Cricetulus griseus: one gene and its partners. The protein of the gene in region 2 interacts with the protein of the main gene of each other region in a pairwise test. Links are inferred from orthologs where the notes say so. Each region holds a gene or a part of one and is shown on either strand. Other genes may lie near its edges.

Evidence for each region.
Region 1: the proteins of Card9 (region 2) and Kiaa0408 interact in a two-hybrid assay, tested with the Homo sapiens proteins (2 studies listed by BioGRID and IntAct). The two-hybrid records come from large-scale screens. The link is inferred for Cricetulus griseus from reciprocal best matches to the Homo sapiens genes CARD9 and KIAA0408.
Region 3: the proteins of Card9 (region 2) and Tfip11 interact in binary tests that used the Homo sapiens proteins (3 or more experiments, as listed by UniProt). The two-hybrid records come from large-scale screens. The link is inferred for Cricetulus griseus from reciprocal best matches to the Homo sapiens genes CARD9 and TFIP11.
Region 4: the proteins of Card9 (region 2) and Trim23 interact in binary tests that used the Homo sapiens proteins (3 or more experiments, as listed by UniProt). The two-hybrid records come from large-scale screens. The link is inferred for Cricetulus griseus from reciprocal best matches to the Homo sapiens genes CARD9 and TRIM23.
Region 5: the proteins of Card9 (region 2) and Tcl1a interact in binary tests that used the Homo sapiens proteins (3 or more experiments, as listed by UniProt). The two-hybrid records come from large-scale screens. The link is inferred for Cricetulus griseus from reciprocal best matches to the Homo sapiens genes CARD9 and TCL1A.
Region 6: the proteins of Card9 (region 2) and Cdca7l interact in binary tests that used the Homo sapiens proteins (3 or more experiments, as listed by UniProt). The link is inferred for Cricetulus griseus from reciprocal best matches to the Homo sapiens genes CARD9 and CDCA7L.
Region 7: the proteins of Card9 (region 2) and Tceanc interact in binary tests that used the Homo sapiens proteins (3 or more experiments, as listed by UniProt). The two-hybrid records come from large-scale screens. The link is inferred for Cricetulus griseus from reciprocal best matches to the Homo sapiens genes CARD9 and TCEANC.

Annotation. Positions count from the first base shown.
Region 1 is NC_048595.1:247,808,326-247,812,476, forward strand, and holds the start of Kiaa0408 (uncharacterized protein KIAA0408 homolog), read left to right. Parts: upstream 1-1,351; 5' UTR 1,352-1,418; coding exon 1,419-1,592; intron 1,593-4,151.
Region 2 is NC_048599.1:137,744,308-137,747,807, reverse strand, and holds part of Card9 (caspase recruitment domain-containing protein 9), read left to right. Parts: coding exon 1-29; intron 30-474; coding exon 475-612; intron 613-808; exon of another isoform or gene 809-1,384; coding exon 1,385-1,689; intron 1,690-1,767; coding exon 1,768-1,947; coding exon of another isoform or gene 1,948-2,031; coding exon 2,032-2,175; intron 2,176-2,501; coding exon 2,502-2,627; intron 2,628-3,500. UniProt on the Homo sapiens protein: Adapter protein that plays a key role in innate immune response against fungi by forming signaling complexes downstream of C-type lectin receptors.
Region 3 is NC_048597.1:92,000,000-92,003,956, reverse strand, and holds the start of Tfip11 (tuftelin-interacting protein 11), read right to left. Parts: upstream 2,801-3,957; 5' UTR 2,671-2,800; intron 2,444-2,670; exon of another isoform or gene 2,243-2,443; intron 1,190-2,242; 5' UTR 976-1,189; intron 691-975; 5' UTR 682-690; coding exon 473-681; intron 1-472. UniProt on the Homo sapiens protein: Involved in pre-mRNA splicing, specifically in spliceosome disassembly during late-stage splicing events. Intron turnover seems to proceed through reactions in two lariat-intron associated complexes termed Intron Large (IL) and Intron Small (IS).
Region 4 is NC_048595.1:322,471,743-322,475,128, reverse strand, and holds part of Trim23 (E3 ubiquitin-protein ligase TRIM23), read right to left. Parts: intron 1,796-3,386; coding exon 1,671-1,795; intron 1-1,670.
Region 5 is NC_048598.1:189,490,436-189,492,572, reverse strand, and holds the end of Tcl1a (T-cell leukemia/lymphoma protein 1A), read right to left. Parts: intron 1,087-2,137; coding exon 916-1,086; intron 558-915; coding exon 501-557; downstream 1-500. UniProt on the Homo sapiens protein: Enhances the phosphorylation and activation of AKT1, AKT2 and AKT3. Promotes nuclear translocation of AKT1. Enhances cell proliferation, stabilizes mitochondrial membrane potential and promotes cell survival.
Region 6 is NC_048598.1:191,926,219-191,930,512, reverse strand, and holds the start of Cdca7l (cell division cycle-associated 7-like protein), read right to left. Parts: upstream 2,801-4,294; 5' UTR 2,726-2,800; coding exon 2,669-2,725; intron 261-2,668; coding exon 117-260; intron 1-116. UniProt on the Homo sapiens protein: Plays a role in transcriptional regulation as a repressor that inhibits monoamine oxidase A (MAOA) activity and gene expression by binding to the promoter.
Region 7 is NC_048604.1:101,283,365-101,286,545, forward strand, and holds the end of Tceanc (transcription elongation factor A N-terminal and central domain-containing protein), read right to left. Parts: coding exon 2,920-3,181; 3' UTR 501-2,919; downstream 1-500.

The DNA of each region.
Region 1 (4,151 bases), on a different chromosome or scaffold from region 2:
TGTTTCTAATTCCTTCTAGTCTATAATAATTCATTCCTATCTTAACTGGAAAGGCCTGACAAAATTAATCTTTCATTGCCATATAATATATGGGGTGTGAAATATGCATCTGTCTTTGGCGAGTGCAAACTTGTTCTTGCTACATAATCATACAGACTTAGTTCTTCCAGGAACACCACAACACTGACTATTGGCAAATTCGTGCATCAGTAACAGAAAATGGTATAGCATTATGACCATGTATTAGTAAAATGAAGCATCAGAGTTTGGGTTTTGTTTGGTTTTTGTTTTCTTCTCTTTCTTGTGTGTGGATGCACATGCACACATTGTTGCATACATGTATGTGCTGGAGTTCATCCCAGGCCCTTGACAAGCTAATCATGTGAGCCTGCCAAGTTACCCATAACTCTGTTTCTTATTGGCACAGTTATTTTAAATAAAATTGGTGCATTACCAATAAGCTTTTCTATTCACTCCAAAGATACATGATTTTATTGATAAAAACTTTCTTCAGATAAAGCAAGATTTTTAAAGTCCAAAGTATTTTTTAATTTCTCAAATTACTGTGTATTTATTATACTATCTAAAGTTCATAATAATGCTATGGATATCCTCACTTTAGTGTAAAAAATATCAAAGCTTATAACAGAATTATATATCTGGTATTTAAAGGTTAATTTTAACTATGTGTATATTTGGGGATAGGATATGTGCACGTGTCAGTGCAAGTGTCCACAAAATTCAGAAAAAGATATTGGATTCCCTGAAACTGGGGTTACAGGTGGTTGTAAGTCACCCACTAAGGGAGCTGAGAACCAAATGTGGCCCCTCTGTAGGGGCAGTATGCAGTTGTGAGGTCTGAGCCATCTTTCTAGCCCCTAAGTCCAAGATTTTAAATTGTCTCATCAAGCCCGAAATATTAATATCCTGAATGTTAGAAATCAAGTCATTTTGGTCACTACTTAGTGTAGCATAAGAAAACTTCTCTTCAGTTTCCTATAGTTATTATTCAAGACGTGTATAGTCCAGGTGAAAGAAGAGAGGCCATGAGTAAGTTTTAAGATGTGTCTCACAGAATAATGATAATACTTGAGATTTGACTTAAGAAAGGAAAATAATGATCTTTTTTCATTTTAATATTTGCATGGTTTGTAGTTAAGACACTAGTCTTCTGAGATGACCTACTTTGGGTCTTGGTACAGTCCTTCCACTTGACCTGGGGAGGATCTTGCTTCTTTCCTGTTTAGTTTTCTATAGTTAATTATGTCATTGGGTCTTAACAAAATATTTCCACAAAGCGCGTGAACTTGGGACTCTGTCTTCTTATGTTTATCTCAGGCTTTATTTTAAAAGGCAAGTGAGACCACTTCAAACCAAACACTTCCACACTTCCAAGAAACAGCTGAGAGAAGGCAGAGATGAGCAGAAACCCTTTGGCTGACACTCACACAGTTGCCATGGACCTGCATAAGCAGTGGGAGAACACAGAGACCAACTGGCATAAGGAAAAAATGGAATTACTGGACCAGTTTGATAATGAAAGAAAAGAATGGGAAAGTCAGTGGAAGGTCATGCAGCAGAAGATTGAAGAGGTATGAGTTGATTTGTTTAAAGATGCTGTAAACTCCAAGCTAAATGTGAAAATCCTGCTGACATTCATTTTCTATTGGGGACTACTTTCATTTCTCTTCTTCCACCAAAGAAATAAACGTCTTATGACGCTAGATCAAAACCAGCATAACCACACCTAGTGGTGTCTCTGAGAGTGCATTTATTTTATAGTCTTACATGAAAATACAGACCTTGAAATGGTTCTCAGCCTCGCTAATGCTGTGACCTTTTAATACAGCTCCTCATATTGTGGTGAGCCCACCCAACCATAAAATTATTTTGTTGCTGCTTTGTAACTGTAATTTTGCTGCTGTTATGAATCATAGTATAAATATCTTACATGTATACTAACTTATATGTGAGCCCAAAGGGGTCACAACCCACAGGTTGAGAACTGATGCTCTACAATGTATCAATTTAGTATTCTCTGATTTCAGGTTTATGGTACCAAAAGTAATGTATATGTTCTGTATGACTCCTCAGCTACTACAGCCTAGAATGAAAATGCAAGAAATAAATAATTGGTGGGGCATACAGTATCAAGATTATAATTTGATAATCATATACCATCTCCTTTCTTAGAAATGACTAATGTATACCAAATATTGTCAAATAACTCAGAAGCATCAAATGTATGTCATATGTCAGACAGAAAAATGGTAGAGGACATCAGATTTATTCTGGCAATGTGTTAATAGGAAATGAATTTTTTAAATGACATATCATGGCTCTGACACAGTCAATAATTTTATTCTCATTAATCACCCCCTAGTCATCCTCGACTTTTGCATGAAATGTTCCTTCAGACATTTACTTTAGTGTGCCTTCGAGCTTGCTCCAACTGAAATTTATGTATATTAATTTTGCTATATTTCATTCAATAAATAATATTGAATTTTTTGGTTTCTTCAACTTAACAAGACAGTTATTTAACAGATTCCCGGGCCTTATTTTTTTTCTTTAGCAGACAAGCAAAGTAAGTGCTTTGTATGTTTACAGTGCAACCATGCTTCTTTCTGATTAACAGAAAACAAATAGGTTGTGAGTAAAATACACAAGTGGTATGCCATAATGGAAAATAAAGGATGGGGGTATTAAATCCTTCCTCTAGGGAATAATAAAGGTGAGACATCTGTGATTAATGATTCCAAAATAAATCTACTTTTACTACTACATTTGAAAAACATATTGTACTAGCGTCCTTCACTTCCCTTATCCAAGGGCTTTCCTACCTGTGATTAAAACAGCATAGTTGAGAGTATATTTATAAAAATGTGCTACATATACTGCCCATAGGTAATATCTCAATGCCAGCACTGTGTGTCTTCTTCTGGTTATATACATATGGACTACAGTGTACAAAGCTAAGATAAAAATACTGAGAAAACCACAAGGGGGGTGCTTGGAAATTGTATGGTTCAAACATAGTGAAGTATTTTTTCTTTAGCAAATATGTTGTTTAACAAGTACAGTACGTGTGTTTAAAGTTACTAGGCTCTAGTATTAAATTCTTTCAGGATATTGAGCCATGTGCTAGAAAGACGCAGACTCCAGAGTGTGCATCTGTAACATTGGTGATTTTAAGTAATAATACAATTGAGTGAAAGCATCCAGTATGAAGATGGTCCTGTATCTCTGCTGAGTCCCTCTCCGCATTCATTACAATTGCTATTGAAAATCCAAGGCATATGTACTCAGACAATTTGAAACCTGGAATAATTCCCTATGAACTATGATCATGTATAACTTAGCTGATAGAAATCTTGAAATTTTTTTGTTCCCTTGCAGTCTTTTCTGCTTGTGTCATTTGGTCATTCAGCTATTGAACAGGAAAAATTTCCTATACCAAAGAAAAAGTTTTCCATTTGTTACAGTGTACTAGTACTAGTTTCAGGGGGTGGGGGGCAGAATTCTTGCTGCTGCTGTTTTAATTTCTCAACTAAGTTGAGTTTTGGGAAGCTATAATGGCATAAAATTACATATAAGTTAAATTATACCAAACCAAAAACTGAAGGATTAGATGAATACATGAAAAGGAATTGTATATAATACACAGGAGTGGGTCTTTCTAGAACCCAATATAGTTAACATGCAAAATGAAAAGCCATGAGTTGTGAATAGCACAATTTCCCCTGGGTCTAAAAATATAGCAATTTTCTTTTTAATTCAGGAAATTTTTTGTTTTGTTCTGTTTTGAGACACGGTTTCTCTGTGTAACAGCCTTGATGGTCCTGAAACTTGCTTTGTAGACCTGGCTGGACTCGAACTCACAGAGATTCTCCTGCCTCTGCCTCCTGAGTGCTGGGATTAAAGGTGAGTGCCACCATGCCAAGTCTATTCAGGAATTCTTAAAAATGGGAAAACACTGCCAACAATATCCTTAAATTTAACAGGGGACTTTGGGGGTTGTTCCTTATATCATTCATGTTGAAGAACAATTCAATACAATTAATTTTGTAGGCATCAAAACAATCAATTTATTGCTGTAGTTTGGAAATGAGTGATTAAAATCTTTATCAATATTGGGGAACTAAAAGCAC
Region 2 (3,500 bases):
CAACCTGGTCATTCGCAAGCGGAAAGTGGGTGAGGGCTGCTCCCACACCAGCAGGGCTGTCCCTAGTCCCTCATGGTCCCCACAGACACCTGGCCAGAGGCTGCTACATGCTGTGCCGCCCTGGCCTTGTCCCCACCCAGCTCCATCTACACCTAGGATGTATGCATGAGAGCCTTCTCTCCTCTCATCATGCCTACCTGCTGCTACCCAGAGGAGGGAAGGGGAGTTCCTACCATTGTTCAGGCTGTGAGAGAGCCACAAGAGTGAAGGCAGCACCTTACTCTGCCTTGACTGAGACCTGCAGGGTGCCTTATGCAATGCCCCAGATCCCTCTGCTAGGAAGGGCCCAGAAACGAGGGCTGGGGGTCCACAGCTTGGCACCTCTACTCAGAGCAGTCATCCACTGTCCCACCTGGGCCCCAGAGCTTCTACATACCCAGACCTTGGCCTCAACTCTGTCTCTTCCATCTGTAGGTGTGCTACTGGACATCCTGCAGCGGACAGGCCACAAGGGCTATGTAGCCTTCCTTGAGAGTCTGGAACTCTATTACCCTCAATTATACAGGAAAGTCACGGGCAAGGAGCCAGCACGAGTCTTCTCCATGATCATTGGTGAGAGGCACAGAGTGGGTGGGTGCTGTGAGTGCAGTCAGGTGCCACCAGGTCCTGGCTTCTGTGATTACATCAGAATGAATGAGTCTAATACAAGCCCTGTGGTACATATCAGAGTAGTGGTACCAGTGACTACTCTCAGGTGCTCAGGGTCAGGGCTCCCTTCTCTGCCTTTCCTACTCCCATCCTAAGAACATCCACTAAGAAGAGGTGACCCCTCTATAAAGTATTAATTCCATGGGGCCCAGTTACCACCTAAGGACAGAATCCCACAGTTTCTAGAGGGGACAGAGGTGAACTGATGGAATAGCCACATCCCTATCAGTCCACATCCCTATCATTCATCTCATAAAGATCTTTATAAAGGTAGACAGAGGGCCAGGCATGCTGGCACACACCTTTAATCCCAGGGAGAAGCAGGCAGATCTCTGAGTTAGAGGCCACCCTGGACTACATAGTGAGACCTTTTCTCAGGGAAAAGAGAGAGAAAAAGAGAGAGAGAGAGAGAGAGAGAGAGAGAGGGCCAGCTGGAGTCCTGGCATGTGATAAGTTAGAATCTCAGTCAGTTCATATGTGAGGGGCAGCAAGGCAGACTGGGCCTGGTGAACAGTCCCCAGGGAGCCTTCCCACCAGCTTTCTCTCTGTGGAAGACCAGTAGTGCTCCCTCTGCCCCTCAAACTGCTGGTCTTCAAGCACATACTTCTGGACAAGGACAAGCACAGGGTCTGCAGGTGACAGCCACAGGCTCCATCTGACACTGCATGGTCCCCAGATGCATCAGGGGAGTCAGGCCTGACGCAGCTGCTGATGACAGAGGTCATGAAGCTGCAGAAGAAGGTTCAGGACCTGACGGCACTTCTGAGCTCCAAGGACGACTTCATCAAGGAGCTTCGGGTAAAGGACAGCCTCCTGCGCAAGCACCAGGAGCGTGTGCAGCGGCTCAAGGAAGAGTGTGAGCTGAGCAGCCGAGAGCTGAAGCGCTGCAAGGATGAGAACTATGACCTGGCCATGCGCCTAGCACATCTGAGTGAAGAGAAGGGCTCAGCGCTCATGCGGAACCGGGACCTGCAGCTCGAGGTGATCGCTTGTCCCACCAGCAGGGGGGTGGGGGTGGGGGTGTCTGGAGGAGGCTGCTGCTGACTGGACCACCCACAGGTGGACCGGCTCAGGCACAGCCTCATGAAGGCAGAGGATGATTGCAAGGTGGAGCGAAAACACACCCTGAAGCTCAGGCATGCTATGGAGCAGCGGCCCAGCCAGGAGCTGATGTGGGAGCTGCAGCAGGAAAAGGACTTGCTGCAGGCCCGGGTGCAGGAGCTGGAGGTCTCTGTACAGGTAGGGCTACCAGCAGTGCACACCAGGGGCACACCAGATGGTACAACTGCAATGGCCAGGCTTGTTGCCCTTTGCCACCTCCAGGAGGGCAAGCTAGACAGGAACAGCCCCTACATTCAAGTGCTGCAGGAGGACTGGCGCCAGGCACTGCAGGAGCACCAAGAGCAGGCCAACACCATCTTCTCCCTACGCAAGGACCTCCGCCAAGCTGAGGCCCTCCGGACCCGGGTGAGAGGGCAGGGCAGGCAAGCAGTACCCACTGGGTATCTGGAAGGCAGGGTCTGGAATGTAACTCACTGTCTCCCCTTCACCAATTCCTGGTGCACAGTGGTGTCATGTCCACAGCTAGGGTCATCCTTTCAGTTTACCGTGTGATCGGTGGTGGCTGAGGCCATGGTCTCAGACCAGGCAAGCCTGCTGTGGCCTGGGACTGCAGTGCCCTTCCCATCATCCCGGCTAGCCCGATCTTGAGTGCTCTGAAGGTGTTGCCTGAGTCCAGCCCAGGGCCAGGTGAGCAGTGGAGAGTGGGTGAGGCTGAGTGGTGCTTCCTGTAGTGCGTGGAGGAAAGGGAGATGTTCGAGCTGCAGTGCCTGGCCTTGCGTAAGGATGCCAAGATGTACAAGGACCGGATCGAGGCTATCCTGCAGCAGATGGAGGAAGTCTCCATTGAGCGGGACCAGGTAGGTGTTGCATTTGTGTTCAGAAGATGAGAATGAGAGGAGTGTTTGGGTGCCGGTGTAGAGGCTTTTGAAGCTGTGGTCAACTCATTACTTTATCTATCTATCTATCTATCTATCTATCTATCTATCTATCTATCTATCTATCTACCTACCTACCTATCTATTTATGCCTGAGGTAACTTGGCAATGTTGAAAGATAGAACCTGGAGCCTCTTGTACAAAGACAGGAACATCTGCCTCTCTCACAGGAAGGGCCAGTGTAGCAGGGGAGTCCCAGTGGCGCCTGTGCTGGTTAGGGGAAGGTCAGGGTTGGAAACTTCAATAGAGGAGAGGAAGTTGCTAGCTACACAGGTGGGAGGTGGAGGCCACAGTATTGGGTAGAAGAGCTGGTGGTAACCCCCTGGAATAGGCAGCAGTAGTAGTAGTGGTAGCTCATACCTGTACTCCCAGCATTTGGAGGTTGAAACAAAATAACTACTGTGAATTCAAGGCCAGCCTGGATTACACAGTGAGTTCCAAGCCAGTTTGGGCTACAATGGTAGACCCGGTCTCAAAAAACCAAAAACAACAAAAAGTAGTAGCAACTGAGCCAACTTTGGTGGCACATGCCTGTAATTCCAGGCTTTGGAGGTAGAGTCAGGAGGATCAAAAATTCAAGGCCATCCTCAGATACATAGTAAATTTTAGGCCAGTTTGGGAAATGAATGAAACTGTCTCCCAGGAAACAAAAGAAGAAGCATGGTATTCATTTTAAGAACAGCCATCAATCATGTTCTTTGTTTGTTTTTTGTTTTTTTGAGACAGTGTTTCTCTGTGTCATCTTGGCTGTCCTGGAACTCACTTTGTAGACCAGGCTGGCCTCCAACTCACAGA
Region 3 (3,957 bases), on a different chromosome or scaffold from region 2:
CCACACAAAGACTCCCTGTCTCGGGGGGATCCTAAGTAAAATTAATAAAAAATTCTGAGTGTAGTTAAGTGTGGGGACACATGCATTTTTCTTTTCTTGTGAGACAGTGTCTTACTGTGTAGCACAGGCTGTCCTACCACACTTATCTTGTGGCCCTAATCACTCTCTACCTTCATTTCAGCCAACTGTATTCTACAGGGTGACCTTCCCTAACCTCCCTATCCTTTAGGACCTGTGAGAATGCTCCTTGACCAGGGCATGGTTCCAAAGCTACCAAGCCTGTGGTTGGTTAGCACTCGTCTATCCCTAAGTAGCTGTATTCGTCACAGTAAGTGCTGAGGAAGAACCTGCCACCCCAGGTCAACAACACACAGCAAGATGCTGTAGCTATAGGACTTGATAGGCCAGAAAACTCTTTTGGGGTGCCTCTCCGATCCTCTAAAGCCAGGGCATGCAGCTCAGCAGACAGTACCGTTTGCCTCCAAAGCTGGGCCTCTCTTCATCGGAGTCATGTTCAGCCCATACCCCATAAGTGGCCTCCTCCTTGGTCTGCCAGTGACGCTGCCGGTTGGGGTTGAACTCATTCTGGAGATCCCAATCAGTGATCTCAAAGTTCTCACGCTCATCATCATCATCGTCCAGATGACCTTCCCCGTCCCGGTACAGGTGGGACAGTGACATGGCTGGTCACTAGAGGAAGGGGGACAAGAAGAGCAATGTGAAACCCTGGGGCCAACAGAAGATGCCCAGGAATCTCTACTCCTGTTTCTTCCAAAGGAAAGCCCATTAGCCTCATGCTACCAGTCAATAAAGTAGCCATTAAACACAGGACAAAGTGGCCAGCTCTGGGACAAGTGAGAGAAGTCAGTCCCAGCAGTCCATACAGGTCTAAGAACCCATTCTGCCTTGGCCTTGTCAGAGTCAAACATCACCCATAAGTGCCACAGGAAGGAAGTAATAGTTCTATGTTATTACCTCAGAAACTGAGTGGGCACCTCAGCCTCTTCAGTTCTCCAAGAGTTATATCAAGCCAACTGGGAGTCCCAGGGAAACTTCTGAATGTCTTCTGAAATACTGTTTCATGAGATTGAATGACCAGTGTAACACTCGGGTTTTTTCTTTCAAACCTGAGTGGCTTCTGAGGTACTGGAAGGCTGAGGTCTTTATGAATGACACTACACAGCGGCACCTAGAGGGTGTGGGATAAACAAACTGTTCTACCCAGGAATCTGTTTGGCCATCTCGGTAATTGTATCAGTGACTACAGTCGGTTTTAGAAGGACTGATTAAAGTGGCACTTTAGAAAAGAGAACTCCTGCCAGGAGTTGGTGGTGCACGCCTTTAATCCTAGCACTCGGGAGGCAGAGGCAGGCGGATCTCTGTGAGTTCTAGGCCAGCCTGGTCTACAGAGCAAGTGCCAGTGCCAGGATAGGCTCCAAAGCTACACAGAGAAACCCTGTCTTGAAAAACCAAAAAAAAAAAAAAAAAAAAGAGAGAGAGAGAGAGAGAGAGAGAGAGAGAGAGAGAGAAAGAAAGAAAACTTCCTCAACACCTACTCCACAATCCCCCTCCTCAACCTCCCACCCCACCGCCTCACTCAGGAGGCAGAGGCAGGTAGGTCTACTCTGTAAATTCAAAGCCAGCTTGGTCTACATAGTGAATACCAGGCTGGTCGGGGCCACACAGTGAGACCTGGTCTCAAAACAAACAAAATAACAAAAGCTGAGCTCCCAATAGGTGCTTTAAAAACAGCATCCTCGCCGGGCAGTGGTGGCGCACACCTTTAATCCCAGCACTCAGGAGGCAGAGGCAGGCGGATCTCTGTGAGTTCAAGACCAGCCAGGTCTACAAGAGGCAGTTCCAGGACAGCCTCCAAAGCCACAGAGAAACCCTGTCTCGAAAAAACCAAAACAAAAACCAAAAACAGTATCCTCTTCAGGCTGGAGAGGCAGAAGCAGGCGGATCTGTGAATTAGAAACCAGCCTGGTCTACACAGCGAGTTCCAGGACAGCCAAGGCTACACAGAGAGACCCTGTGTAGGGACGGAGGGAGGTAGGGAGGATTGTGAAAATCAGGAACACTTAAACCACACAGCCTGAGTTCAAAGCCCCCCTCTACCAGCGCCTCTGTGCGTGGTTATCACATGCGTGGATATCACACACAAAAACGCTAGCGTGGTACACAGCACACTAACGTCCTCAGTGTGTGACGCCATCGACTGACAGCGGTCTTCCTTACGTACAGCGAGATCTGGGCTTCTCTAGCAGGGTGGGACTGCTTAGCCATTAACAAATGTGTCCCTGCTCCTCCTCATTATGCACCGTTAACATCAACAGGTTCCAACCTGAGCTACGAGTGCACTTTGCTCGCAAAGTTCTCAAAGGAGGCAGGGAGCCCTGGACCAATCGGATTACAACACCGTCGCCTCCCCAGCACAGAACTGCTACAAAAAAAAAAAAATTTCACAGCGGTCAGGTGCTGCTCACAACACGAGCGCGCCCGGGGCTGGCTATCCAGTGTCAGCATCGGGACGCTGGCGGCTCCCAGCGCCTCATCTGGTCCCGGCCCCGCCGCAGCCCATGGCTGGAGACCCGGGCGCAGGGAGGCCATGGGGCCGCCGCAGAGGCTCAGCCCGTGCTCCCAGGACGCCACCCCGACCCCGCCGCTCACCTCGCTCGGCGTTTGCCAGCCACACAGCTTTCTCCAGCCTACGAGAGCCTGCGAGGAGCCCGCCAGCCGAAACCCGGATGTAGCCCTGCCGGCGCACCGGAATGACGTCACTAGGCGGTGACTTGCCACTAGAGGGGGGAGGGTCTGCGTGCCGGAAGGACTAGAGATCCCGCCCGCACTGCTTCCGGTTTCCACCGGAACTGAGGCGGAGTAGACATCCGGCCAATGGAACGCCATTGACCGGTGTCCAAGGGAGCGTAGGAATGGTTCCGGGAACCCCCCCCCTCGCGGATGGGAACAGCCGGGTCCGGACTACCTGAACCAATGTCACGCGGACCCTGAGTAATTAAAACGCCCTCGGCACTCCCTGTCGCGAGAAGGGAAAGCGAGGGGCTTCCTAGGAGAGATTTCTCCGTTCCGATCCCCTCGCTGCAGAGCAATCATCATGCACACTTCCGGGCTTTTGTTTCCTCTTTGCTGTAAACAGGAAAGGTAAAGGAGCCTAAGAACTTATCTCCAGGCAGTCTGGCCAGGCTGTAAATAAACCCGTTTTCCTTTGCCAGTCCCTATTCCTGTTTTCTCCTGAAACAGACTGACACTAAGACAGCAGATTTCTGCACCCAGGTGCCTCCTTCTTGGCTCTTTTAGGACAAGCCAGCCTGGGCCCACAAAAGTTTAAGGCATGAATGGGCGGAAGGCGTGCACAAGCGTTCTCTCCAGGAAGAAGTTTTATTATTTTCCTCTCCGCTCCAGTTATTTCTCTTGCTGTGATAAACAACTAAGGGGAAGCGGGGCGGGGTTTTTGCTTGGATTAGTTTGGGTTTGGTTTTTCAAGACAGGGTTCCACTGTGTAGCCCTGGCTGTCCTGGAACTCGCTTTGAACTCGCTGGTCTGCCTCTGCTTCCAGAGTGCTGGGATTAAAGGCGTGTGCCACCACCGCCAAGCAAAAGCATATTTCATCTTACGCTTCTCCGGGTTATAGTCTGATGCCATCTAGGGTTAAAGAAAAAGTTAGTTTTCTCTCACGTCCTGGTGGGGTTTTTAGTTGTTTTTTGTTTGTTTGTTTGTTTGGCTGGTTGGTTTTCCCTGTCAGCTTCACACACACAAGAGTTGTCTGGGATGGCCTGTTAGGCAATCCCGTGGGGTCATTAACCTGGTTAATGATTGATGTAGGAGAGACCAGACATTGTGGGTGGTGCCACCCCTGCTTTGATGGTCCTGGTTGAGCTTGGGGAGCGAGCCAATAAGCAGTGTTCCTCCATGGCTTCTACCTCAGTTCTTGCTTTC
Region 4 (3,386 bases), on a different chromosome or scaffold from region 2:
TCTACATGTTTACTGGTCAGGTAAGGATGTTTCAGTTCTTTTTGTTTGCCTGTTCTTGTTAATTTTTAGTGAGGTGAAAATTCTTTATTTTTCATTCTACTTTCCCCTCCTGTGACATCTACTGTATTTAACTTTACTTCAGAGAAATGGAGAAATGGCTCCATGGTTTGCATTGGTCACTCTTCCAGAGGACCTTGGTTTTATTCCCAGCACCCAAATGTCCTCACAACTATGAGGCTTGGCTTATGATTGTCTGTTTTTCCAGTTTCAGGAGCTCTGACACCCTTCTTCTGGCCTCTGTGGGCACCAGGCATACACATGCACAAATATATGCAGAGGAAATACCCATCCACAAAGCGTAATTAAAACCCCACCATTGCTTCAGTTAAAAGCATTCTGTCACGCTGGGCAATGGTGGCACACACCTTTAATTCTAACCCTAGGGAGGCAGAGGCAGGTGGATACCTGTGAGTTCAAGGCTAGCCTGGTATTGAGAGCAAGTTCCAGGACAGGCTCCAATGCTACACAAAGAACCTCCCCCTCCCCCTCCCCCCCCCCCCCCAAAACACACAAAAAGCATTCTAACCCCCTGTGAAGCTCAGGCACTAAGAGTCTAGCCTCCCCTACCTTATCTTTCATCTTCTCTATTCAGCCACTATTCTAAATCTACCTTACAGAAGTCCTCCTATCTCCTCCCATCTTTCTATTCCTCTAATTCAAGGTATTATTAATTACATGTCCTATGTTTACTACCTGGCTGTGTTTTGTTTTGTTTTGTTTTTACCCCCAAAATTAGTCTTAACATTTTGGTATGATGTTATCATGTACAAGTCCAAAAAGTTTGATATTTTTTTCCTTTTGCATAAAATCTTAACCTTTTTATTCTAGTCCTGCAAGGCCTTTACAACATAACCAGATCTATTAATCTAGGTCTTCTTCATCCTCTACCTGAATCTCTTAAAAATACATGTTATGTCTCTTCTTGTTAGTATTATTTCCTTTATCTACAGGCCCAAAGACATCTATAAAATCATCCTATCACAATTTTAATTCCAATCTTATAACCTAAGCCTTTTATTTTCTTGAGACAGGGTCTTGCTATGCAGCTCATGCTAGCTTTGAGATTTCTATATAGGCCAGGAAAGCCTAAACTCTTGTTCCTCTTGATCTACCTCCCTCAATACTACATTTAGATTCTTTTATTTTTTTTTTTTGAGGGGGGGTAGAGATAGGGTTTCTCTCTGTGGCTTTGGAGGCTGTCCCGGAACTAGCTCTTGTAGACCAGGCTGGTCTTGAACTCACAGAAATCTGCCTGCCTCTGCCTCCCGAGTACTGGGATTAAAGACGTGTGCCACCACCACCCGGCTTTACATTTAGATTCTTTAAGATACCAATTCATTTAGAATAGCTGTCTCCTGATTGAAGTTACTTCCCAGTTTATCTTTATTAGAATATAACACGCTCCATAAACAAGAATGCACTGTCTGCATCAATTCATTGATTTGTGTGTTTATGTGTACTCTAGGATAACCAAGGTAATATTTTCCATAGCAGAAATTTTATAGATAGCTATTGAGTTGATTCTTTGAGATCTTCTCATCTTACTTATGACATGGAATACACAAAGCTACTAAAGTAATAAGTGTTTTGATATAAAAAAAATCTATTACCTGTTTGTTAGCAAAAATCAGAAGCAAGGCATCTCGGAGTTCTTTTTCCGTTAACAACTTTGCAAGTTCGCTGTGTGCTTCACTGATTCTGTCTCTATGACTGCTATCAACAACAAATACAACAGCTACCAAAAATACACAAAAATACTCAAGTTATTTGTTAAATTTCAGTAAATTAACGAAGTAATATTCATTATTCTAGCTAAATTTTGTTTACCATCTCTGTCTTCATTTAAAGGTTGCCTACTTAATAGCAGAACTTAATAATTTTTTTCCTTTTTGCAAATGTTTTAATGTTTCTAGTTTTGCAAACTATCAGTTCTTATCTGAATTTTTTCCTAAGTGCTTTTGTGACAAAACATCAAAAACATAAAATGCCTTAAAAATGGCACAAATGTAATGCCCTACAGTTGTGAAGATCAAACATCCAGAGTAGGTTAAAAATCAAAGTATCAGCAGGAATGTACTTCCATAGGCCATTGCTGAGAAACAGTTCTTGCTGGCCAATATATTGTGGTCTTTACTCACTAGACCATTAGCAACCCCACACCTCAGTTCTGAAGCAATTCCTTATAAATTACCAGGTCAAAATCGCTTCTCATAGAGCTTTATACTCTGACTCACACTCCTTTGTAGTACTTAATAATTAATGATATAATCTTAGTTTACTTCACAAGTTTACTTTCTCCTCCTCTGATAGGATTTATAAAACTGACTCTACCAAACACGAACGGCTCTCCTCTCTAATGTGCTTAAGATCTACCTTGAGGCTACTATTATTTGAAATTCCTTCCTTTACAAAAAGTCTTACAAAAGCAGAAGGGGAGGACTCTTTTGGTGTAGGAGGGTCATTAAGAGGAAGGACAGTATAATGACACATACATACAAAAGTGCCATAATGAAACTCATTACTTTGTATGCTAACCTAAAAACAAACAAACAAACAAACAAACAAACAAATAAAAAAAAAATGCTGGGTACACTCTGGAGGCAGAGGATCTTTATGAGTTTGAAGCCAGCCTAGTCTACATAGCAAGCTCCAGGCCAGGTAAGGCTACATAATGAGACTATGTCTCAAAACTTAAAAAAAAACAAAAAACAAAAAACCGTTTTAGGGGAAAAAAATACAATTTTTACAAAATAAAGTATCACCATGATTATCTCTCTAAAGTATTCTTCTCCTTCAAAATTAGGGCTTATAGTAACCATAATAACTAAATGTCCTGGTTAAAAAGAGTCTAACATTTAAATGGGAATAGGATGGATGACAACCTAAACAAGTGTATGAGTATGTTTCATGGGGGGGGGAGTGTAGAATGGAGACAGGTGTGATAAAGGCTAGATGGAATGCTGGGGTATGTATAGTTTGGTCAAGAGAAAGCTATGATGGGTTCCTCTGGGATCACACTATATATAAATCAGGCAGTAGTGATGTTGAACAATCATAAATTACAATAGGCTAAATGTTACCCTCAGAATACACATATATGTCACAAATTCAACTTCATGTTGCCTTATGGTCAGCAATCATATCCATAAGAATACTGATAACAGATTTCAACTTTAATAACAACCAACAGGAGGTATTTTTTTTTTATTCTATAATAATGGCTTTTCATGAGTAACCGGATGTACATATCCCAATTTTACCGTTACTTTTTAAATTTAAATAAAATACATTTACATCATTCCCTCCACTATTCTCCTCTGCTCAAA
Region 5 (2,137 bases), on a different chromosome or scaffold from region 2:
GGCCAAGGCAAACACCAACCCAGTGAGGAGAATGGGTAAGATGGAGAAATCTGCCTCTGTAAACGTCACACAGTGATGGGGGCTGGAGAGATGGCTCAGAGGTTGAGAGCACTGACTGCTCTTCCAGTGGTCCTGAGTTGGGTTCCCAGCAACCACATGGTGGCTCACAACCATCCGGATGTTATAAGATCTGGTGCCCTCTTCTGGTGTGCGGATATACATGGAAGCAGAATGTTGTATACATAATAAATAAATAAAATCTAAAAAAAAAAAAAAGTCACACAGTGACAACTGATCATAAACAACGGTAACCTGTGGTGGCCCATGAACACGGCTGTAGCTGTAGCTCCTAGGGGGGTAAAGGAAGAGACATGGACACTTCTGGGAAGCCTGCCTCACCCTGGGCTCTCTCTGAGGACAGCTGCTGGGGAGGAGCCGGCATGGCTTTCATGGAAAAGGGTACTACTCCTTCCTGATGGAGCCCCGGTGCACTCACCATGTCATGGATATTCTTCAGACTCCATCAGTTCAAGTAGCATGTCTTCTACGCCTCTGAACTAAGGTGGGGAAGGAGAGAGACAAGAGTGATCAGACCCAGCCCCAAGAACTCCCCTTCTATGCTGGCTTAGCTTTCTTTAGCCTGGGGCAGCACTGGGACCTGAGGGGCTAGCCCTCTCCACTGGTCTCAGTCAGTGACTACCACAGAGCTCCTTGTGCTAAGGAGTTTGGTTGAGACCTCAGAAGATAGCCTCTTCTATTTCTTTAACCCATTTAAAAACAAAAATCTGCAGTTAGCTCCCCTTCCATTAGCTTAGCTTCTGGTACTAGGATGGAGGGATAACCCAAGCCAACCCCAAGTTGAGAGCAGGACCACTGGAGATTACCCACTCAGTCCGTAGGATAAGCTGTGCTTGCCTTGATGTGGTACAGTATCTGCCAGAGCATGGAGTCACTGCCTCTGTACTTTTTCCCTGGGTATAGTTGCCACATTAAAGGCAGCTCGTATGCCTCCAGCTGTTCAGGGATCATAGCAAGCCCCAAGGGGACGTCTTGCTGGCGCAAGATCACCTGGAATTTTTCATCAGTCTGCAGAGGAAGAACAAAACACACCTTCACCTCTTGCTTACCACTGCCAGGCTCCCTCAGGCACAACACCCAGTGTCCATCCTATCACTGACCCAATACACTGAGCAGTTACTGCCCCTGGTTTCAACTCCACAGGCTACACACAATCTTAGGGACTCTGGCAGGGTCTAGCCATCCTTGAGGGTGCACTTTTTCCTGCCAACGCTCCTACTGCTAAGCCACCGAGTCCTTCAACTTGGTCCTATAGGTGTGGGGGGAGGGAACCTTAAGGTGTCATTTCTTTGGCATCATCCACTTTTCCTTTCACTTATTTACTTATTAATTTAAGACAAAGTCTCTTATTGGCTTGGATCATGCATGGGCACACATGGCACACACAAACACACACACAAAGCGAGGCTGTTTGGTCAGTGACCGTGCTTCAGAGGTCTGCTTCCCCAGTGCTGAATTACTAGCAACATCTACAACACTCGGTTTCTCAAACTTGAACTCTGGGGATTGAAGTCAAGACCTTACGTTTGCAAGGCAAGCACTTTACCAACTCTATTCCAGCCCTGCCTGGGTTTTGACTTTGCTTTTGTCCAATGCCCTCTTTCAAGGGAGGAACCAGTCTATCTATGGACCCCTGTGGGAACTGTAAACAAAACGCACTGTCTTTTCTATCAGAGGGTTAAATGAGATGAAGCTCCATCTCTAAAGAGGCTATCTAGCAAAAGAAAATCCCCTTCCAGTCAGCATATTTCTAAGATCAAAGTCTGTGCTCAAGGTTGTGTCCTATTTTCAAAGTTACACTTTGCTTGTGGACTGCACAGCTCTAAGTTATTCAACTGTGAAGAGGCTGAACTCTTGACCAACCAGAATGGGACTCAGGACCCCTGTGGCACAGCTGCACAACCTACGGAAGTATAACTTTCTGTCTTGCTGAATGCTTTGGGTTGTGTGGTCATTTTCTTGAGACGCCCCCACACCCATTTCTAACACTGTGATTCTGGTGACAGGCGTTGTTTGCCCATCGCTGGCACAGCTCTCCTGGGCCATGGCAACTATTTCT
Region 6 (4,294 bases), on a different chromosome or scaffold from region 2:
AAATCAGGAAAAAAAAGATAGAGTTATCTTTTTATTTGTAAGGTAACATGTCTGTAAAAGGACACTTCAATGCAAGACTAGAAACATTACAGCCCACGCTCCTTTGCGTGGGCCACCACTTCCGTTACCTCTGGGTCACTGCTTACGTTCAGCTCACTCTCTGTAAATCCTTCAAAATCTTCAGCTTCTGAATCTGTGTCCTCTATGAAAATCCTCCTTAGCTCTTCAGTGAGGTATTTGGAATGGAAACACACATCCTGCTAAATTGAAAACACACATGAAAGCCAGACACGGAAGTATAGACCTAGGATCCCTGTACTCTGGTCCCTGTGCTCACACCCAGTCATGCAGTGACCCCTCATAAAGCCACATTTGGTTGACACCATTTCATTGCTGCCTTTCTCTGGCTTTAATTATATACTTCTTCAGACTCAGATATCTTTGGGGAGGGAAAAAAAGATATAATAGAAATATATAATAGTGGGAAAACTTGCAGGGTAGTGGAGAAAGAAATGCCTACAGTTAGCAGTAAGCTTAAGAATGTCCCCTATGAATTATAGGTAATTGGAATGGGTTTGCTCAGAGCTAAATTACTTCCTTCCTTTGTTGTTAGCTGTGGTGCAGCTGCAAAAAAAAAAAAAAGAAAAAGAAAAGAAAGGAGTTTCTTTCCAGAGAAACTTGAGTTGTGTTTAAGGGAGGGAGCCCAGGGTCAGCTACACACACTGTGCAAGTTGATGCCCTTTCTCTCAGCTGGACAAACTGAATCACAAGTATGTGGGTCAGGTGAGCATTAGACCAGGGTTGAAAATCAATGTAAGAACAAGTGTGGGGCTGGAGAGATGGCTCGGTGGTTAAGAGCGCTTAATGGTTTTGCAGAAGATACAGGTTCAGTTCTTAGTGCCCACACGGCTGCTTCGAACCTTCCCTAACTCCACTTTGAGGGTTCACGCAGCTCTTCCAAGTGGGGCACAACTACACACTCAAGCAAACACTCTTACACATAAAAATAAATCGAAAGAAAGAAACAAGTGCAACACAACCACTTGCTAAGGAAACCCACCAAGCACCGGAGTGCAGGAAACATCTGGCTAACCTCTGGCGGTTTTTCCAGGGCAACAAACAGCCTCAATGCACACATTCAATAAATGTCCAAAGATCCTATACAGAGTCTAAAAGAGAATGAGTCAAGCCCAGAGCAGCAAGTTCTAACCTTCCTGGCAATTTCTATCCTAGAGAAGGTTAGCAGTCCTGATGGGATTAAAATGGCTTTGCTACAAGCTTACTCTCACCTGGCTGTACAAAGCTAATCTCCACTGCACAGCCTCACTGACTGCTTGGGTAAAGGCTCACAGAGCTCTTGGCTTTCTGAAAGCTGCTCATTACGCTGCCAAGGCAAGACCAAGGAAGCAGTGTCTACTATGATTAAAGCAAGAGGAAATGGCAGAAGCAATTGTGTCATGAAAAAAGGACTGGATAGCAATGACCTGTGTAGCAGTGAGATGGATGTATTTCCAACTGTACCCGATAAACACCCACGGGTGCCTCCCATGCGTGGTGATGCAGAGTCCTACATGCCTGAACCCAGATCAAAGCGGCAGCCCAACAAAAGGTCAGCGCCGGGGAAGATAAAAAACACTGTGCCAAGTATGATCTCCTCCTTCAAGGAACTTGCAATCTGAGGAGTCAGACAGGCTCACAAGGACTTAGATAGAGGCAGAGACATACATTCTATCACAGAGGGGAAAAGGAATCACTCCAGTAGGGAGAGCCAGCTGACAGAAGAGTGGCTGTGAGGAGAGTTGGCCGGCATATGTGCTGTGCACAACAGGTAAGAGAAAGTGCCAGGGAGGAGGAGACTGGGAAGTGGTGTCCTGGATTCGGAACAGCCAGCCTTACCGAGCACTGTTTTCAATGTAGGACCGTGGCTAAGTCCTTTGTGTCCCAGAGCTTATTTCATCTGTACTCCACCAGCCCCTGGAGTCTGGAGTAAATTCAGTATCTGTACACAATATGAGTGCCATATTCACAGGCCTGGGGCCTGGCAAAGGAAGACGGGACTATGGACATAGTCGTCATAGCAGCAAAAACAGCAGATGTCTTTGATGCCCACAAGCCTTGCACCTTTCACTGTCCCTTGACCTTGTGGCTTAGGTACCACTCTCCCTCTCTAACCATGCATGGGGGACTGGGGGATTTCTGAATAACAACAGAGCCCAACCTAAGCCCAGTGCTTCTGTTACTCCCAGCAGGATTAGGTGATTCCACCCCAGGCTCCCCAAAAGTGGGATGACAGAAATCTTGTGCAAGACCACTACATGGCACCTGTCTCACAAGTCACTTCACTGCCGTGACCTGTGTGAGAGCATGAAGCAAGCCTGGCCCACCCTTGCCAGCTGTGTGAGAGGAGGGAAACACAGTCTTGCCATAGGAGACAGCTGGGGGAAGAAGACAGTGGATTTAATCCCTTCATCAACAAAGCTGTCTGTGGCCGGGAATTAAAGAAAGACGCAGGCAGCTGCTTCTGGAGACAGGAAGCTGAGACTCTGAAACACAGTACCCGCCATGCACCAAATCACCAACTGATGACTGCACTGAGATGAGAAAGTACCCCACACCCTGCTGCAGGCTCCCAGAGGGCCATGCCTGTCTGGAGAAGAAAGACTCCTACCTGTTTCTCCAGCTCCAGCGAGTCCAAACTCTGGAAGCTCCCTGACAGGGTTTCCATGGGAACATCATCCTGGAAACCCACAAACTCCTCGTCGTCACTGGGAGCATTGAAGATGGCCGCTACTTCTTTGGGGATCTGTTTTGGATGCAGAAGAGAAGGATGAAAGCGAGGTTGCTGGGGTTACTCCAGGTGGAACTAGCACATCGCATCCTTTACCACAGATGCTTGCAAAACCCCAGTTTCTCTTATTTCTTTTTAGGTATTTATGTTTTTATTTCTCTCCTTATTCTTCCTACTGTTTGCTGACAAGTTTCTTGTTATTAGAATTTTTTTATATTTTTTCTCTCGATTTTCTCTTTTCCTTCATAATATTTGCCTCTTCTCTTTATTCGTTCTTTCTGTGAGCCTTACTTCCCTATTTCCCACTACCCATGACCCTGTGTTTATTCTTTCATTTACTACTTCCACCATACCACACTCTCCATTGGTTCTGACCCCTTCCGTCATATGGTTACAGGTGACACATTAATGAGGTTTAGTAATTTTACATGGAAGTCTGTCTTTATGATTTAATTATTGCTGTCCCCTGAGTGGTACTGGGGCAGAGACTTCACGAGTGGGCTGTTCACTATGAAGATCCCCAAATAAAATCAGATGAGAAATCCACACCAACCATTCACAAGGCACAACAGGAACAAGAAGGCAACATGATGTCTCCAAAATGTTGTGACTTCCTCAAGCAGTGAATCCAAAGTCCTATGGTATCAAAGTACCAATGACAAGCTCAAAAGTTCACAACAAAACGAACACTAAACCTCAAAGACAATCTAAACAAGCAGACGAATGACATAAGGAGACCAATCTAGGCCCTGGAAAGGCCACCCAGCAACACAGGAGAGAAGTCAGCATCAAGGGTGAGAAAACCAGCATCGTGGATTAAGAAGGACAGCTTCGTGAAGAAGTGTGTCAAAGGCACTGAGAATTGAAAAACATAAAAAAAAAAAAGTCATAGAAATAAAAGGCTCAATGAATCAAGTAAGAGTAAGAACTCTTATAATCCAGAGATGACTTAACACTCCGTTGGCAAGACTGGGACTCAGTGTACAGTGCTTGCCTAATACATGTTAAGGTCCTATGTTCAATTCCCTACCACACACCCACACACAGGAAGGAGGGGGAGAAAAGAGAGAGACCCATCCATAGGGGAGAAGTAAAGAGGCATAGAAAATGGTCGATGAAACTAATAACACCAAGTTTCCCAAATCCAGGGAAAGAGAAGCCATAACATTTAGAAATTTAAATTTAATTGACATGACTAAAGATAAATCTTTCTACACATATCACACTCAAGATTGAAAACAAGAAAGTTAACAACCAACACCAGAAGGTGGGGGGGGGGGGCACCAATTCAGCAATAAAGAGTAGCATGACACCTCTCTCACCAGCAACCCTCAAGACCAGGTGAGCATGGGACATTTTAAGCCATGAAAGCTAGTAACTGCCAACCAAGAGAACCATACCTACCACCTAAGTTACCTTTTAAAACTGACTATGAAACAAAAACATGTCAAGGCAAGCACAAATTAAAGCTGTCCATTACCAAGCTAACACTGTATTAGATGGTTA
Region 7 (3,181 bases), on a different chromosome or scaffold from region 2:
CCTTTAGTCCCAGCACTCAGGAGGCAGAAACAGGTGGATCTCTGTGAGTTTGAGCCCAGCCTGGTCTACAAGAGCTAGTTCCAGGACAGTCCAAAGCCACAGAGAAACCCTGTCTCGAAAAAAACCAAAATAAAAAAGAAAAGAAAAAGAAACACTTCTTGCAAGCCTTTAATCCAGCACTCAGGAGGCAGAGGCAGGCAGATCTCTGTCAGTTCAAGGCCAGCCTACAAAGCTAGTTCCAGGACAGCAAAGGCTACACAAAGAAACCCTATAACAAACAAACAAACAAACAAACAAACTCACTCCTCCCTCCCTTTCTTTCTATCTCTGAGATGAGCTACAATGTGAAAGAATTATCTGTACTCAGAAAATGTAACTGTCTCACTGACCAAAAGAATAAAACACACATCACCATTTCCCTAGTTGCAAAACTAACTGACAAAGCTTATGGGAAATGAGAAAGACCGCACATATTTAAAAAAAAATCTTGGAGAATGAGAGATTTTTCCAGTTCAAGTACTTTTATTTTTGGTAAATGTAGATTACAAAATCTCAATATTAGTACTTATATGCAGATACATAGAAAACCCAAATACCAACACTGACTTGAACAAATTAAACATGGTTTTCATGTGCTGTGTGCACTCTTGCACAACCACCATCTAGGTTTTAAGATCATTCCAAGTCACATGAAACCACACTTTGTGAAACTTTTGAGTTGTTGATGACTTTGTAAGTTTCTGTTTAAAGGACTAACACATTACATTATAATGAACACCACTGGAATGCAAAATGAAGAAAATAAAACAAAATATAATTCAGACTTGACAGCCTCAAAACACAGGAAATAGAAATATCTGCTAGTTTTATGCACCCACTGGGGGAACTGTCATAAAGAGGTAAAATATACATAAAGAAAAGCCTATAGATTCCACTGAAGGAATACTGGGGATTTAGGGCACTATAATTGATGAAAACATGTGAGTTTACATGGAACTAAGAAATAAATTCTTTAATATGATAAAATCAATGAATGGTGTCTTATACCCCAAATTACAGCACTCCAGAGGTTGAGGCCAGAAGGAGTTCGAGCCTAGCTTAGGCTACAGAGTGGAGTCAGGTTTATAAAAATAGATACTCTGTCAAACAACAAAAGAAAAAATGCATATCTAACCACATGGTAACCTTCTGTGTGGATTATGCATAAAATTGATTTACATGTTAAAGAATCAAAACCCCAAATAACATTATATCATTTTTAAGGAAAAAAATTAGTAATATTAAACAAGAGGCTTGTTGTGTTTAAGCATATAAATCAGTAAACAAAGGCCTTAGAGAAGTGATTTCCACTTCAGTTAGTTAGTAAATGAATGTTGATAAATTCAAAGGCTGAGGGAGTGAACACACATGCCTTTGAAGACATGAAGATTCCTGACATCAATAAACTATGTATAATAAAGAAGATAAAGACAAGCTCACACAAAGGGAAATATGTACAGCTCATTTAACTAAGAAAGCAGGCTCTAATCCAAATTCTAACTCACAGTGCAACTTTTAATAGGTTAAGAGAGACTTGTGCCGGGCGTTGGTGGGGTGGTGCACGCCTTTAATCCCAGCACTCAGGAGGCAGAGGCAGGTGGATCTCTGTAAATTCGAGGCCAGCCTGGTCTCCAGAGCGAGTGCCAGGATAGCCAGAGATACACACAGAGAAACCCTGTCTCGAAAAATCAAAAAAAAAAAAAAAAGGAGAGAGAGACTTGTAAAAATGAGAAAATCAAGGACAAAAGGATAAAACTCTAGTCATGTAAACTTAAGAGGCCCCAAACACTATTTTCTTAGCACCCATTTCCAGGAGTGCACTTTTTGCATAGTCAATAGGAAGTCATATTCAGACTGTGCATCTTTTTGTTTTGACATTCTTTCTCTACAAAACCCAGGCTGGCTTCATCCATGGGAGTCTGCCTCAGCATCTCCAATGCTAGGATTATGTATTTGAAGCACCACAATGTACTTGTACTATTTTTTTGAGACAGGGACTTTACAATCTAAATTGGCCCTGAACTCACATAAACCTTCCTGCTTCATCCTCCCTAGCATCTGGATTACAGACATGTGCCATCACACTTGCTTCAGAAGGAAGGTATATAATTTGGGATCAGTGTGAGGCAGACTACCTACAGTTATGTAACCTGGTTAAGTCACTGAAGATCTCTGGGCCTCTTTCCTCATCTGTAAGTCTCCAGAATATCATTCATTTCTTCAGAACTATAGAAAGGCTCAAATGAGACTATTTACAGGTATTTCTCAACTCTAACAACAACTTAAAGCAAACTAAGAAATAACCAGAGCAATGTTGATGCCTGGGTCCCACGCCATAGGTTCAGACTGAATTATTCTAGGCTTGGCCCTCAGCACCAGTATACTTCAATGCGCCCAAGAAAACTCTAATGTATAGTCATTCTGAAACCCACAGGCCTGCAACTTTATCAGAGGATGACCTGGGGATTCTACCAAGTTGCAGATCAGGATTCAAAGAGTATCAGTCCAGAGAGTCTGCCTCTCTAACATGATCTCAGGCTGTGTAGAGCTACTGTGCTACTCTGAATGGCCACAAGTACAACGTGATAGTCTTGTACTTTTCCCAAACAACTTTTTAACAATGGTGGCCTGCACTTTGGCAAACAACTCTCTTTCCTTATTCCCAGGACTGTAGTAAGAACAGTATACCAAGCCAGGTGTGGTAGTGTATATCTGTAATTCCAGCTCTGAGGAGACTGAGGCTAACTGTGCTTGCATAGTAAGATCTTTCACAAGCCAAAATCCCAAAGACAAAATAGCAGTAAGATTCTATAAAAAATGAACACAAAAGGGTTATGTTATACACATAAAACACACACCCCTGAAGGGATTATTTACAAATTACAAGCACACCCAGTTGCTATGGTACCACTGCTCCCCACATTCATTACAAATGACATAGGTCATTTGTTCATCCGGATTTGAATTCTGCACCCAACTTGGAAGGAAAAGTGTTCCTCTTGCAATTACAGTGATCTTGCAGTTATATTTCTCACAGCGCCTGCACTTTATTTTATTTGTCTGTGTGCCTTCAACTGTTTGGGGAAGGTGATGTTCCTGAATACTGGATTCTGTGTAGGAAGCTCTCAACTGCTTCAGTTCC